2 linked regions of the Rattus norvegicus genome follow. The protein of the gene in region 1 interacts with the protein of each later gene in a biochemical or structural test. Links are inferred from orthologs where the notes say so. Each region holds a gene or a part of one and is shown on either strand. Other genes may lie near its edges.

Region 1 (7,951 bases):
TTTGTGTTCAAATTCCAACCTCAAAATTGTCACCATCGCACAATCCTGTATTTACAACAACAAGACCACAGCTCTGGGGGCCTTTAAATACCTCCGAGTCTTTCAAATGTTCAGTGTCTCAGAAGTCAACTAGTTTCCTTTTGGCTCTCCTGAAAGGGCCAGCTAAATGATTTTAAGACACACTTGGCAATGCACCCTTGGATCCTGAATGGTGGATGAGGGCCCAGAAGGTCCAACTTTAGTAGAAACTGGAAAAGCGAACTGAAATCCAAAACCATTCATATTTCTGAAATGCAGCGTCTAAGTAAACTACTGTGTGGTTCTTTCCACAACATCAGAGCTCAGGGACAGCATATGGCTTGAGAAGTATGCTCCCTTTGTATAACGTCAACAAATGTCATTCAGCAGCTAGCATGACAGTCAAATAGAATCTGGACAGATTGCAGGAGAGGGTGCTCTGGTTGGTGAACGATGGATGGAGAGAGAGGCCGAAGGACTCCAGCTTACAAGGGGGTCATGTCCTGAAGAGCTTACTGCGAATGGGAAATGTCTCACATACGCTGAGGAACAGCCCACTGAGCGATACAGCCTTGTGGAAAGTCAATTATTTGACCTGAAACTCTGCTGCCAACTGATAGCTGATGCTCTCTGCTGCTTCTTCGTGTTCCCGGAGAGAACTGGATCAGAAACCAAAAGCCCACTGGGGGTCGGGGGAGTCAGAATGCTAAGCATGGTTCTCACAAAATGGTACCACAGCCACTCCTTCAAGTTTAGGTTTATATGTTACAAGACGAGGGGTCCATTGCTGGAGGATCGAAGGGTTTCATTTTTTAGAAAAACGGCTTCTAGTTGTGGCAAAGTCTGACTCACATGGATCGGGAACCCAAGCAGGGCCATGGAACTTCCTGTCATTCTGCGCAGGAATCTCTGTGCTCACAGGGCCAAGGATGGCTAGACTGGACACCTCTGCTGGCTGCTGAATTCGTGACAAACGGCTTGGGCCCAGGCACGCATGAAGCCTGTTCTCCCCAGCCACACAGGTAATGGGAGGAGAGTGGGGAGGTGGGGGTGGGGCAGTGAGACAGTGGGGATCAAGTGCAGATTAGGGAAGAGGGGAGGTCTGAGGCTTTGAGTAAGCCACCAGCTCTGATTCTGGCCACTCAGAAAGGGGAAAGGGCCTGTAGGAACCCTCCTTAGCCCACACACAGGCAGGGGTGGGAGCTGTTCTTTCCTTGCACCCAGGAAGCCACAGGCTAAGGATTGGTCCACAGACAGCCTGAGGTGAGAAGGAGGTTAAGCACTGTGGGAGCAGAATGTGTTATGAGGACTGCACCTGGAAGACTTGGCCTAAGAAGGAATCAGCAGGGAGAGCCAGGTTTTGGCTTTTAGCAGCGGGGGCATTTAGTTCCCAAAGGAAGGACTGAAGGGATTTGAGTTGCCCTACTGGGCAGAACTAGTTAACAGCAGGATAGAATCCAGAGCATCCACTTCCTAGGAAAACCTCAAATCATTGGCTTGCTAGTCAGTTCCCTATTGCCCGAAGTGAGGCCCCGATCTCAGATTAAGGTAAATGTTACAAGTCTCACTTAGCCCAGGGTCACATAGCCAGCTCTGCTTTGTAGGAATGAAGTGTAGCTCTAGCCACCTGCATGAATTGACCGTGACCCAGCAGACTACCTACCAGCTCACTTAGTAAGACACCACCCACCTGACCCCCGACTGCTTCCGGTAGAGGTTCAGGGTGCCCCTGTACTCTGGTTGGAGAGGGTGGCCCCACTCACCTGTCTAGTACATGCACCCCACACATCCCAGCAAGTGCAACTGCACACAGATCGAAGCATACAGGCTAACAGGTTAGAGGCATTTCCTATTACAATCTATTTCCTGGAAGGCATGATGAGTCCCCACTTGGGCAAACGATGTGGTTATAGTACCATGACAGATAATTAATGTGTATTTTTAAAAGCCAAAGGAGGAGGAGGAAGAGAAGAAGAAGAAGAAGAAGGGAGAGGTGGGGAAGAGGAAGAGGAGGAGGGGGAGGAAGAAGAGGAGGAGGGGGAGGAAGAAGAGGAGGTGGAGAGGGAGGAAGAGGAGGAGGAGGAGGAAGAAGAAGAAGAGGAGGAGGAGAGGGAGGAAGAGGAGGAGGGGGGAGGAAGAAGAGGAGGAGGAGGAGAGGGAGGAAGAGGAGGAGGGGAGGGAGGAAGAAGAGGAGGAGGGGGAGGAAGAAGAAGAGGAGGAGGAGAGGGAGGAAGAGGAGGAGGAGGGGAAGGAAGAAGAGGAGGAGGGGGAAGAAGAGGAGGAGGGGGAGGAAGAGGAGGAGGAGGGGGAGGAAAAGGAGGAGGAGGGGAAGGAAGAGGAGGAGGAGGGGGAAGAAGAAGAGGAGGGGGAGGAAGAAGAAGAGGAGGAGGAGAGGGAGGAAGAGGAGGAGGAGGGGGAGGAAGAAGAGGAGGAGGGGGAAGAAGAGGAGGAGGGGGAGGAAGAAGAAGAGGAGGAGGGGAGGAAGAAGAGGAGGAGGGGAGGAAGAGGAGGAGGGGGAGGAAGAGGAGGAGGAGGGGGAGGAAGAGGAGGAGGGGAGGAAGAGGAGGAGGAGGGGGAGGAAGAGGAGGAGGAGGGGAGGAAGAGGAGGAGGAGGGGGAGGAAGAGGAGGAGGAGGGGAGGAAGAGGAGGAGGAGGGGGAGGAAGAGGAGGAGGAGGGGGAGGAAGAGGAGGAGGAGGGGGAGGAGGAAGAGATCTCAAACACTCATGTAACAACCTGGGATTTGAAGCCCCTCTGGGATGTTCCATCTTCTTTGGTTCATGCTGGGCTGGCAGTTAACGGTGCTTTAAGAGGTAGGTAGCTGTTTCACATCTTTCAGGGACAAGGGCAGGACCCTCACACAAAGATGGGTCTCTTCCAGCACCTCCCCATACCTTCAGCTGTGTAGGAAAGGCTGAATTATCTGGAAGTTTCCTAGCTGATGTACTTTCTCCGGGTGCCTCACCTTAACTGGTAGAGCAGGTTTTTCCACTCTAGCTGGTCTGGGCATAGAAAAGAACGTGTCATGTTTGGCAAAGGAATTTGTCTCGTTCTAGATTCTAGCAGCTCTGGCCTAGCAGAGGTAAGGGCTGGCTGCCTGCTCCTCCTGCCAATCATCTGAAATGCACGAGTCTCTCTAAGATGGCTCCTCCACCTTCTCAGAGCCCCCCTCTGACATCCTCATGAGACTCATGGTGATGCCGCAGTTTGCTCTGTGCTTGCAAATCTATGAGCTGTGAAACCATCCTAAACACATACAAGTCAAGCTAGGTAGGGGCTGTGCAAAAACGCAGGACACCCATGAATGCAAGGCGTAAGATACCATTTCCAAAGAACCCTGGAGTTTAAACTATGTGTTCAGTTAAAGTGTGAGCCTTTTTCTTCAAAACCATTCATGCCAGTATCAAGAATTTGGCCATCTTGAAGCATGTTTTATTCTATACAGGGGTCACCTAAGGCTATCGGGAAACAGATTTTCACATCACAATTCATAACAGTAGCAAAATTACAGTTACGAAGCAGCAACAAAAGTAATTTCATGGTCGGGGGGTCATCACAGCATGAGGAACTGTATTAAAGGGTTGAAACTTGAGGATGGTTGAGAACCACTGCTGTAGTGTGAAACTCAAGTCCTTAACCACAGAGAAACAGACTAAAGGAGCAGGCACATCACCGCCTGTGATGCTGTTGGCGCAGGGAGATACTAGGTGAACCTCTTTTTTATAACTTCTCTTTTTCTCTTCTCAGTTTTTCTCTGGTAAGCAAGCATTTTTATAGTGTAAAAACAAAAAGGAATCCTCGGTTTTTTAAAAAAAAATCCCTTAACTTATATGATGTTAAAATCTCTGAAAGCATAATAAATTTTGTACATGACCTCTCAGTTTTAGGAATTTAAGTGAGAATCCCAAGATATAGAAAAAGCACCAAATAATCCTAATTTTATTTTCTTTGGTTGAAAATACCTGTTCTTAGGGAGCCTAAGCTCCTTATAGACCAAGCACAGCACAGTCCCTGTGGACGTACCACTTACCATTATGGGTCTCCATGGCAGGCCCTGGACACACAACTGATCCTTCTGTCCCCACACACCAGTACATACTGGGTGGTCGCTGTGACACGGCAGCCATCAACCCTCCAGGCAGCAGATCTCCAAAGGAAAGTGTTGCTGTTGTCACCACAACTGCCACTGTGCAGATGGGTTAAGGCACGGACACCTGCTCATGGTGCCGCAGACACACACGCTCGTCCTGGTGGAGAAAGACATCGAGTTAGAAGGCTTTCAGACTCGTCCTCTCTTGCAAGCCCTTGTAGGTGTTCCCCACTGTCATTGGCTTCCCCCCTTCTCTGCACATTTCTCCATAGTCCACATGTCTGAAAGGACAATGACCCCTCCCATCCCACCTTGACACTGGGCCCAGATCTTGTCTCTATGAAAACAAACTAAAAGCTGTCACTGAGCTTCACTGGCTGTGCCCATTTGTCGTTCACTCCACACTTAACCGCTGTCTCTTGCACTGTCTCTGCCAGGCCCTGTATGGGACCCTGATGCCGCCCAAACAGCAAAATTGAGGCTCCCGTTGGGAGGATTAACACTTCAGGTGGGGTAGGGTGGGCGCACGGCTGCTCACGGTGCAAGGCCATCCCTTGCTCAGGACTGATACCTATGGTTGCTCCAAGTGACAGCCAGATAATGGCCCCAAAGAAAAGGAGTCTAGAAGGAGTTGTTACTGGTTGTGACATCAAATGAATCCTGTAAACATTGCCTCTCTCTGAGGGGACATTTGACCATATCTAGAGATATTTTGGGTTGTCACAACTTGGGGGAGGGGGTGTTATAGGCTCATAGTGAGTAAAGGTCAAATGAAGGCATAGTGTTTTTGTGCACGGTGTAAAGGTCACCCATTGTCATTCCAATGCTGATTTCTCTGCCCTCATATCTTGTTTTAATCTGGACACAGTATTATAATGCTTATACCAAGAATCTCCTGTTTCAAGTTTATGTAAACAATTCTTACCAATTAGTCTCTGCCTTGTCAATAAATGCTGATCACCCAATGGCTGGGCAGAAGAGAGAACAGGGCAGGACAGGATGTCCACCAGCCAGAGGAAGGAGAGAGGGAGAGGGGGAGAGAGGGGGGGGAGAGAGGGAGAGAGGGAGAGAGGGAGGTAGAGAAGGAGGGAGGGAGGAGGGAGGAAGGTGGGGAGGGAGGAAGGTGGGGAGAGAGAGAGGCAGAAGGGAGAGAGGGGGAGGGAAGGAGGGAGAGAGGGAGACTCAGAGCAGTGAGTGACTGGAGGAATTGGAGCCATGGAAAAGGGGCCCAAAGAGCCAGATCAATAATAATATCCAAGTATCATGGGGTGGGGCTGGGAGGGAGCCACACTAGCATAGAAAGTAAAGATAGAGCATTTACTGCTCATCTACTGAGGCACAGTTTTCAATAAATATTGGTTTTCCTGTGTGATTATTGGTATAAGGTAAGGAAAAGCAGCTGCTGGATTAATTCACTGCTAACATTTATATTAAGAAGAATTCATTTACAGTCAGAAGTGGGGCTAAAATAACTTGAATTGTGTGGCATGAATTGTCTGGCCACATAGACTTCTAACCAAATTAAGAGTCATCTCCTGAAACTGAATAGATTCTGATCTGAGAGGAAGCACATGCTTGGATTCCTATGGCCCTGAAGGACCTCCGACATGATCCCATGATGCCTTGCTGCTTTCCTGCTTTCCTGAAGAAAGGCCCAGGCCTGCTTAGACCCAGGACAGGAAGGTGCTAGCATATGAAAAAAAAAGGCACAGTCCTGCCAATGTTCCCATAGTCCATCCTTTACATAAGGTGTAGGCCCATAAGCATTTAAGACCCTAAAACTGAGAATGAGGACATAACCAAAACTAGCAATATCAAGAACTAATAATTATATAAATGACACCTCTGATACTATGTCTGGTGTGACTGTCAGGGTGTGGGCTGCTTCCATTAGGTATTGGCAGTGTGACATTTTCTCTTGTTTTCTCACCTGCCAAGAATAGACCTTCACACCTCAGCACCCTGGCAACCTCATAGGGCTACTGGGGGGACTTCACGTAAGACAGAGTTTGAGCATCCACACTCTCCAGCAGGGACAGGACTTGGGAGGTCAGCAGGGTCTCATGCCTCCCTCCCTTCTGATGAACACACTCAGAATATCACCGTGTCCCAGTGTATAGGCAGGTTCTAGAAGCTTCCCTGAAACCGTGTAAGCATTGAACAAGCCACAGGGCAAAGAAGAGCTAAAGGGTGCTTCCAATTTCTCCTTTGAAAGCTTAGGAATGAGGCATCTGCCCTTGGTGGGTGGTGTGTGGGGTGGGGTAGGATAGGGTTGGGGCGGACTCTTTCAGGCAGGGGAAGATGTGGCTAAGAGGGTCCCACATCAGTAGCCTTGCTCCTATAACCCGCACTTCTCTGAACCAGAGGACACATCATCCAAAGAAGTTGAGAAGTCTGGCCCACACAGAGAGGAAAGAAAACAGGAGAGCCAGACAAAGTTCAGACGATTCTCAGAAGCTTCGTAAGTCGTACAACCCAGTTGGAGAGATCAACTTGAGAAAAGAGCTAGGGAGAAGAGCCTCCAAACAGACACCGTTTAAAAACAAGGCTCCAAATTGCACATTAAAAGCCAGAAACTGAGAGTCATAGTTTTCATCTGCTCCCAAACACATTTCTAAAGCCAAGAAACAGACCAGATACATTAAGATCCCCAGTGGTAGAAGTTCCCACTCAGAGCAGAAATGGCTTGGCAATATAATGTGTCTAGGCGACACACACACACACACACACACACACACACACACACACACACACACTATAAAATACTTTATGCTACCTCTCACCCAGCATGCTTGGTTCCCCTTTCAGTTTCCTTTTGTAAATCACACCACAGATAGAGGATTCTCTCATAGGGGCAGTTTTTAAATTATCATTTGTATTTTGACTTACACCCTAAGGTAAGTGCTTTAGGATGAGGTAACTGGAGTCACTCCATCTTTGCCCTCACACAGCTCAGTGCTTCCCTTAGGTGCAGAGCAGTGCCACAGACCACCGTGGTAGATTACAAGAGTTTTCATTCTGTACCCTGCAGAAGGCCTCGAGAGGGTTTCTTCAGTCGTTGACAATTTTAATAATGTTTTAAAATGTCACCCATTTCCTCTTGCTAACTCTTCATGCCTGTAAGAGTGAGCAAACCTAAATGATTAATGAGTAACAAGAGGAGGAGTTTCCCATTTGCTCTGAAAAGGCTTTCACTGAGCCATTTCTGTGAAGAGTGAATATCTATGAGTTCATGATGCCAGAGGGGGAAGGAAGACCCTAAAACAAGCCATTGCTACAAGGTTTCTGACCAAAGAGAGCTACATGTGTTTCTACAGAGTTTGGGAAGGACAACCAACACAGGTGTTGAGTGTCTGAGCGAAGCATGCTGGGACAGATCATATTAGCTAGCTCCTTCTTGAGTCAAAACCTGGTGGAGACGGACAGCTTACAGTTGTAGACACCTCTAGTGCTTTCCGCATCCTCTGACCAATATCCGTGCCTACAAAAACGGACGTCAAAATATCATGCAGCTGGAGGCCCAAGAACTATGTTGTTTGAAGCCTCACATGAGTGCAGAAAGTTGGGAGACAGAAATGTTCCACCAGTCTGAACCCACATCTAACTCACGGCTCTTCTTTCATTTATCTGCCACGGTATCTACCGCTATTCACAGGTCACTCCTGACACCATTATGAGAGAGTGAACAAAGCAGAGACTGAGTAAGAAGGCAGGAGAAAAACAGATGGGGAGGAGCACAGGGACAGAGGGGCTGTGAGGACAATGTAGAAGAAAGGAAGGGAGAGACAGTGTAGGCTTGGAAGGCACATGGAGAGACATGGAGCAACGAAACAGACACTTCAAGC
Region 2 (7,634 bases), on another chromosome or scaffold:
TTAGAGTGTGAGGATATATAGTTATATGGGACTACGTCCACACTTACCAGTAAAGCACTTACTAAAGTGGGAAAGGCAGCCAACAACGGGTGCATTATCGAGCACTGAATGCTGGGACATTCCGGAAGGCAGTATAGCATGTGCCACAGAATGACATACTCAGAGGAGGTGAGAGCTGACCTGTCTTATTTTGCTTTGAATTGTTTGCATGGAAAAAGATACACTGATGTCTGAACCCCCCAGGACCTCCAAGTGGGATGTTATTTGGGCAGAGGGTTATTGTGGATGCAATTGGTTAAGATGAGGTCATACTGGAGTCAGAGAGACCTTCAGTACATGATGACTGCTGTCCTTCACGTCAATAGTGCTATGTTGGGAGATGGAAAGTTGCAAGGAAAGGGTGACTTGTGGAGGAAGAGCAGCAGTTTGGTGTGATCCTGTCATTACCCACTGTTACCTATACCACAACCAAGAAATGTCAGAGGCCACCAGAGCTAAAAAGGCAAGAAGGAGCCTACTCTGCAGACACTCTGCAGAAGCCTGACCCTGCCAACACTGTGATTTAGGACTCATGACTTAGCAGGACAGCAGGGGAAAGAAAGGTGGCCTTCAGTACTCATGAGGAGTGTGCAGGTTCCATTAGCCCTTTCATGCAGCTAGTCCTGATCCCACATCCAGGAAGCAAGACCCCAGAAAAGAGACAGCAAGAGGCCCTCTAGAAACGTGAGCCTGTGTTTAGAACCATTTGCACAGCACCAGCTGACTTGGTCCCTATACAATAAAATTTCGGTTCGCTCAGTGTTAATTTGGAAAGAATCTGGATAAATTAGTACATCATTTCTCAACTTAGCAAAGCAGGAGATCCTCTGGCCTTCCTGTGTTAGTAAAGATCACCTATGACCCTCAGACATTTTTACCACCTTCCAGAAAACAGATTTTTACCTGAACAGAAAGCAGTAAAAATAACCCATTGGAAGCTGCTACTGGTCAGAAACGAGATGATTGGTAATTGAGGAAGAAAGGGTTTGTCTGATTGTCTTGGAACAAGAAGCTGGCAAGGTGGTAATAGCAGCAGGTGACATTACCTACATCATCGATTTCCAAGTGGCACAGTACTGTTTCACACAAACTTGTTAGAAATAACCTTGTGAGAAGGATACCTTTATTTTTATGGAACCCGAGAACTAGAACTCGCCACAAGCTGCACAGCTGCTCACACTCAGCAGAGGCAGATCTCTGTCTGCAGAGAAGGTAGAGGTCAAGTATGCGCCGAGGGAGGTACCAGGGATGCTGTCCCAGATGTTCATCTTCCCAATCCAGGGAACTCTTCATCATCAGGGATTCCCTTTCAGCCTGTCCCTTGACAGTCTACCCCCAGAGTTCTCCAGTGTGTAAGAATCTAATTAGTTCTATTTCTCTTGAGATGGCGTTGGCTGGCCTTGATCTCTGAGGCTATTCTCTGGCCTCAGCCTCACAAGTAGCTGCCCATAGACACAGGCTATTGCAGACAGCTCGTAAGGAGATTTGGCTGCATTTCTGTTATGTACTGTCCCCTTCAATGTCCTTTAGTCTTTTTTTGCCTAGATATGGAACCCAGAGCTTTGTATGTGCGAGACAAGCCCTCTATAGTGAGTCATTTCCTTTTTCCCCTTCTTTGCAGAATTTTAAAAGAAATGTTCTGGGCTGATGAAATAGCTCCATGGGTAAGACACTGGCTACGAAGCCAGTCGACCTGATTTTTTAACCTCAGAAAACCAACTTTGTCCTCTGAACCCCTCAACACACAATGAATAAATTAAAAATGTAAGTGATGCATTTTCTTTTTTTTTTTTTTTTTTTTGGTTCTTTTTTTCGGAGCTGGGGACCGAACCCAGGGCCTTGCGCTTCCTAGGCAAGCGCTCTACCACTGAGCTAAATCCCCAACCCTGCATTTTCTTTTAAAATGGGTTCTTCAAGCCTATATGGTCTCTATTAGCCATATTTTATTCTCAATTGTAGGATGAAGTCACAGGTGAGGCAGGCACAAGATAGAAGGAGGCCTGTCACTGGATGAGAAGGAAGGATGGGCAGGAGAGAAGTTTGAAGGAAGAGGAGGAGACTAGGACAGAAAGGTAGAGACAGGAGGGAGAGAGGGAGAAGCCTGTGGCAGGACAATATGGCAGGTGACGTTAAGATTCTGCTCTGTGTATTTACAGGTTGTTATTAATGTTCCTAAGGGATGGATGGTACCAGGCTTTGTATGTTTAAGTGGGCAATTATATCTTATCAATTGGGTCTAAGATTATTGTGTTGTGTGTTCTTTTATGTGATGGTTTGAGTGTAGGAAAGTGTGCAGTGGCAGGAAACAATGGGCCGCTGCGGAGTTGGGATGTGATTCTGCCAAGATATCTAGCAGATATCTTGGGGCACCGCGGTGCGGACCTAGCGGGGTAAAAGACAACAATACTTCTTTTATTTTTATATTTTTACAACAACACTCAATCTCTTTCTGTATATCCTGCAGTATTTTACTTCAGAAACCTTGCCTTTTTTCTATTAAAGACCAACACATTCTAAGTCTATCTTTGAGAATATACTTAGGAGAATGGATTTCAAAACTGTACTCTTCCTAACTAACTCAAAGAAAGCTAAGAACCAAGAAGGGCTTTGTTTCAGGTAAATCTTTTATTGTTTGTGTTTCAAAGACAGTAACACGGTCATTGTCACAGACATGTGGAACATCTATTTTGCAGGAAGAATATGCTACAAGTCACGCTAGTCGCATAGCATTAGCATTCTGGCAAAGATTAGTGATATTTCCAACTGCATCAAACATTTAATAAATAGTAAATTCTGCTTTCTGCCTTTGGGTGAATCAATGCTGTCTTTCAGCGAATGGCTCGTCTCTCCGACTGTCAGCCCCGCTGGCTGAACTTTTCCGCTATTTTCTGCAGTTCCAGATCCATGGCCGCCAAGTTCTCCAGTTCCTTTTTCTGGGAAACAGAAAAGTGGAGCACTGATGTCAAATCATACTACTCCATCTCAGGGAGCTCTAAGGAGAAAGGGGAAACTTAGGTACAGTAGAGGCTGCCCGAGTCAGCCAACATCAGGGGTCTTCAAAGTGGGCTCTCAGAACGAGTGGATTGGGTAACCCAAGCAATTGCCTAGGAATAAGAGTCCCTAGGTCCCATATAAAACTGGGACTGAGAAACTCTGGGGGTCAGAAATCCGTGGGACTCTGATGTACTCTCAAGCTTGAGTGGCATCACCTGACATGATCAAATTAGGTCAAGGCGCTGTTTGGGAGGTGAGCATGCGCACTGGAATCGCCTGGTAGCCGCAAGGTGCTCAAGCACTGAGGTATACTACACACCCAGGCAGCACCGGCCTTCATCTGACAGAAACTCTGGAGATAGATCCCAGATACAGTAGTTTTCCAAGTTCTCTAAATACTATAAAAGAAAAGAGGAGGGCAGCACCCTGGCTGGATGATGACTGGAAATCAACCCTGTTCTGTGACTGGGGCACTCACATTCTCACAGTGAAATTTCCCATCCATCTCTCCCCATTATCAGACATGTTGATGCTAATAACATCAACCTTGATCAACAGTGTAATTCTAAGCAAAAGCCTCAAACCATACCTCTTCCTCGGTCAGAACTCTCTGGTCAGCCCTGTCCTTTTCATCTTCTGCCTCCTGGTGAGGCCCCATCTGCTCCTCTGAATCGTAGAAGTCGGGAAATTCGGCTGCCTTCTTCCTGTAGTGAAGGAGCTGGTCCAGTTCAGCCACTCCATCGTCGTATTGCCTTTTCAAGTCCAAGTGAGGGGCCCTGGCAAAGCTTCTCTTCTCATATCCCCAATTCACATCCTCCGAGAAGGGCCTTTTCTCCCACCAGTCATAGTTGTACTCTGGGAAGAAATTCTTCTCAGTCATTGTCACCCCATTTCCGTCTTCGCCGTCATCATCAAGGAAACTGTCATCTGGGTTGCCTTTTTTCTCAAAGTCGCTATTCTTCCACTGGAGAGGGTCAAAGTACGGGTTGAACAGCGCCCCTAGCCTCTTCCTCTTTTCAGTGGTGGGGTAGGGCGCGTATTGTCTGTCTGGAAAGCTCACTTCCTCCCTGCTTTCTTCCGGTTCTAGCTGCTCTTCCTGCTGCCACCATCTTCCTTGGTCCCCTTCCTCGTCATAGTTGAGGTAGTTTTTCTCCTGTTCCTGCCATTTGCTTTGTGGATACCTTTTTGCCGTATCTACTGGGCTTTCATGAACAGGGTCATGCCCTTCATCCAGGAGCCTTTTTTCTTGTCTGCTGTCAAGAGCAGGATAAGCTCCTGGCTCCCGCCCCCTGCCTCTGTGTTGTCGTCCCTTTGCCCCCTCGTAGCTCCTCTCTTCCTCAGTTTCTTCACTGTGTCTGTTTGCTGTGCTTTCCAGTTCAGAGTCGGGGTGGTTTCTCTTGTACTCCTTTTCCTGGCTCTCCTCACTCCGAGGGCTTGGGGCTCTGACCTCTTCACTTCCTCTGCCCTGGTACTGCAGTCCCTGGGGAGCCTGGAAGCCCGGATAGCTTCTCAATTCTTCCCCATAGTCAGGTTCTTCCTCTGAAGCCCGGTAGTGAGCTAGGTGGTGGCCCCTTTTTTCCCCTAAATTGGCTGTGGCCACATTTGCATCCTTGGACTCCCCAGCAGCATGTTTCCTTTCCTCAGACAGAGGACGACGCCCTTCGTAAGAGGGCTTGTTGGACTGGCTTCTCCAGTGGTGGTGCCTGGGCCTGCGTTTGGTTACTTCTGAGGTTGCGCCTTCCTCGCCTTCCTCGCCTTCCTCGGATTCTTCCTCGCTCTGGTCCTGGTCGGGAAGCTCCTGTGGTTTCTCCTGCCTCCTCGTCTCCTCTCCACTCTCCTGGCTGCTCTGCTCCCTGCTGTGTGTCTTCTCCAGCTCCACGAAGTGTGCCTCTGCTCTGGCCACTGACTCCTCTTTTTTCTTAGCTGAAGCTTCGCTTCTTTTGTTGGAGAAGGCGTTGTGTTTCTCTCCAGATTCTTCAGTGTGTTTCTTCTCCTCACCAGCATCTCCCCTATGCTCTCCCTTTGGATAAATCTTGCCTTCTTCCTCCTCCTCCTCTTTTCCGCCCCTCTCCTCCGAATGGCGTATCTTTGCTTCTTTGGACACTTGTTGGTTGGAGGGATGGAGGCTCTCCTGGTCATCTACTGCCTCTCGACTGTGTCCTCCTCCTCCTGTCCACTCCTCATTGTCTACCTTCGCCTGACCTGGAGAGTCTTCTACTGGAGCCCCTGTTTCCTCCCTACTGGAGGCCCAGCGGCCTACTGAGGCATCAGATGGGTCTCTTAGCAACCGTACTTCAAACTTCGAGTTCTCATTTTCACCTTTCTCTTCACCTTTGACCTCTTTTCCACCTATAATGAAAATATGGGAGTAAGTACAACTGCAAAAATGCTTGAGGGTCAAGTAGCAGCCTCAGTGGTCGCCACAGATCCCGAGGACCCTGGGAAAGAGGTACGCAGTAGAGGATGTGTGGAGTTCTTTGAAAAGTTGATGCTATGGAAACTCTTGGGCTGTGTTTGAATCTAATGAGCTCTCTACATGTTTAAACGTTTTAATAATACCTACCCGGCATCTCTATTTGTAACTGTCAATGGTAAAACTGAAACCCATATGCAACTTTAGGAAAGACTGGAATTTAGAACCGGAAGAACTCTTACAATTCATCCGGTTCCGCCTACTTGTTTTGCAGGTATAAAAGACGTGGAGACTCAGAGTGATATAATTCAGGACTGTTCTTTCCACATTTGAGTAAGGTGGAAAGGTTAGCATTGCACAAATGAATAGTTCTAACTGTAATTTAACTTTAAAAAAATAAGTAGCCAAAATAGGGAATATTAAGATTTAAAGGAGGATTCAAAATTTATTATCTATCAGACATTGTTATCCAGTCAATTGTGTGGACCCTATCCATCAGAGAAATGACAGCTTAAAGTCATTACTGAGCTTAGCTCAGTCTTGGGCTGTGCATTTCACCCTACAGTGGACTGTGAACGTCACAGTGGTCCCACATCATTGTATCAGGTAGTGATGGCAGAGCCCCCCCCCCTGTAAGTTTGTACAGTGAGATAGCCCACTGATGCCCTTCTCAGTATCTCTAAATAATGCATGGCTACACCTTCTGATAAGAATGGAAAAGGTCTCTCTCTCTCTTCGCCCAGGCTCACCCAATCTACATGCTCCTCGGTGCTGAGAGTAAGTTTAAGTATGCTGGGCTGCCTCTGTTTCCTGAGTCAGCAGATGATGAAATCAGTGGCACTTGCTGCTCTCTTCTGTCCTTTCCCAATGTCAATAAGTGCTACATCCTCCCCAAGACACCCTATGAAAAGGATGTGGAGATCACACTGTCTGTGTTGTTAGTTGGAAGGGCTTAGGTTTCAACCTCTCTCACCAAGTTCAGATAGAGACCAGAAGCCAAGGCCACAGAGCCCTACGGGCCAACATCAACACCACCCACTGTGGGAGCCACCAGTTCTTTGTGGCTATGGAGCATCTGAGATGTGGCTTGAGCAAACTGAGACCTGATAGACACACCAGCTACCAAAGACTTCATACAAAAAAAAGAGAGAGAATTATTAAAATAACATTTTTGATAGATTAGGTAATATTACATATATGGAGTGATAAAATACATTAGATAAAATGAGATATACTACTGATGTTAATTTCACTTGCATTTTTTTACTTTTTAAATATGTCCACTGGAAAATTTGAAATTATATTTGTAGTTCATACTATTTTCCTCTCAAACAGCACGGATGGCTCTATTTGTTTTTAGATGGAAGTTTATTATACGTTAATAGGTGGGAGCTTAAGAGAAAACAAGCACAGCAGGAACAGAGCTTATGAGTCATTTTGAACTGATATCTACAAAGGACAAGATTTATCTAGTTTATAAAATATTCAGGAAATCACAGCTGGTTTGTACCTCTCTATTAGAACACAGCTTGACTTGATAATAATGTTCCCATGTCTACAAGGCTGCCGGAATGTCTTTGGACTTCCATATATGGCCATTTGAGTACCCACTCATCTGTCACAGTCCCTGCAGCATGAAAGAGACCATGATGATACTAGGAGGATTCTGAGTTCTATGGCAGTTTGGGCTGCAAGGTGAATGTAAGACTGAGTGACAAACCAAGACCTCGCCCCCCCCAAAAAAAAACAAAACCAAAAAAACCCCCATGGTATTACATGAGGTGCTGGGGCAGGGCTATTTAGTCGAGGACAAGTAAGCAAGAAGGCTTTGGATGGTACCCTTGACTCTCTGTGCCCCTTTGCAAACTCCTGTGGGGAAATACTAATAGATGCTGTGATAGTTTGGGGAGGGAAGGCCTTGGAAGGTTCTGGGCCCTGAGTGGATCCCTCGTAATGAGAGCAAGGTCCTAATAAGAGGACACATGAGAGCCACAGCCTCCCTTCACACAGGAGGGCACAGCGAGAAGATGGCCAGACAGCCAAGACGCGGGACCTTACCTTACCTTGATTGTGTACAGTAGCCACCACAGCTCTGAGAGGTTAATGTATATTGTTTAAGCCTGTGCGACTATGGTATCATCTGTAGCGCTCGCAGCTGATTCAGCCAGGCAAATGCTGATGTCATCTT

The links.
Region 2: the proteins of Lrrk1 (region 1) and Chgb form a complex in vitro, tested with the Homo sapiens proteins (2 studies listed by BioGRID and IntAct, with this or other methods). The link is inferred for Rattus norvegicus from reciprocal best matches to the Homo sapiens genes LRRK1 and CHGB.

Annotation. Positions count from the first base shown.
Region 1 is NC_086019.1:129,378,988-129,386,938, forward strand, and holds the start of Lrrk1 (leucine-rich repeat serine/threonine-protein kinase 1), read right to left. Parts: upstream 4,144-7,951; coding exon 4,047-4,143; intron 1-4,046.
Region 2 is NC_086021.1:140,505,069-140,512,702, reverse strand, and holds the end of Chgb (secretogranin-1 precursor), read right to left. Parts: intron 5,383-7,634; coding exon 3,623-5,382; intron 2,973-3,622; coding exon 2,895-2,972; 3' UTR 2,646-2,894; downstream 1-2,645. UniProt on the Homo sapiens protein: Secretogranin-1 is a neuroendocrine secretory granule protein, which may be the precursor for other biologically active peptides.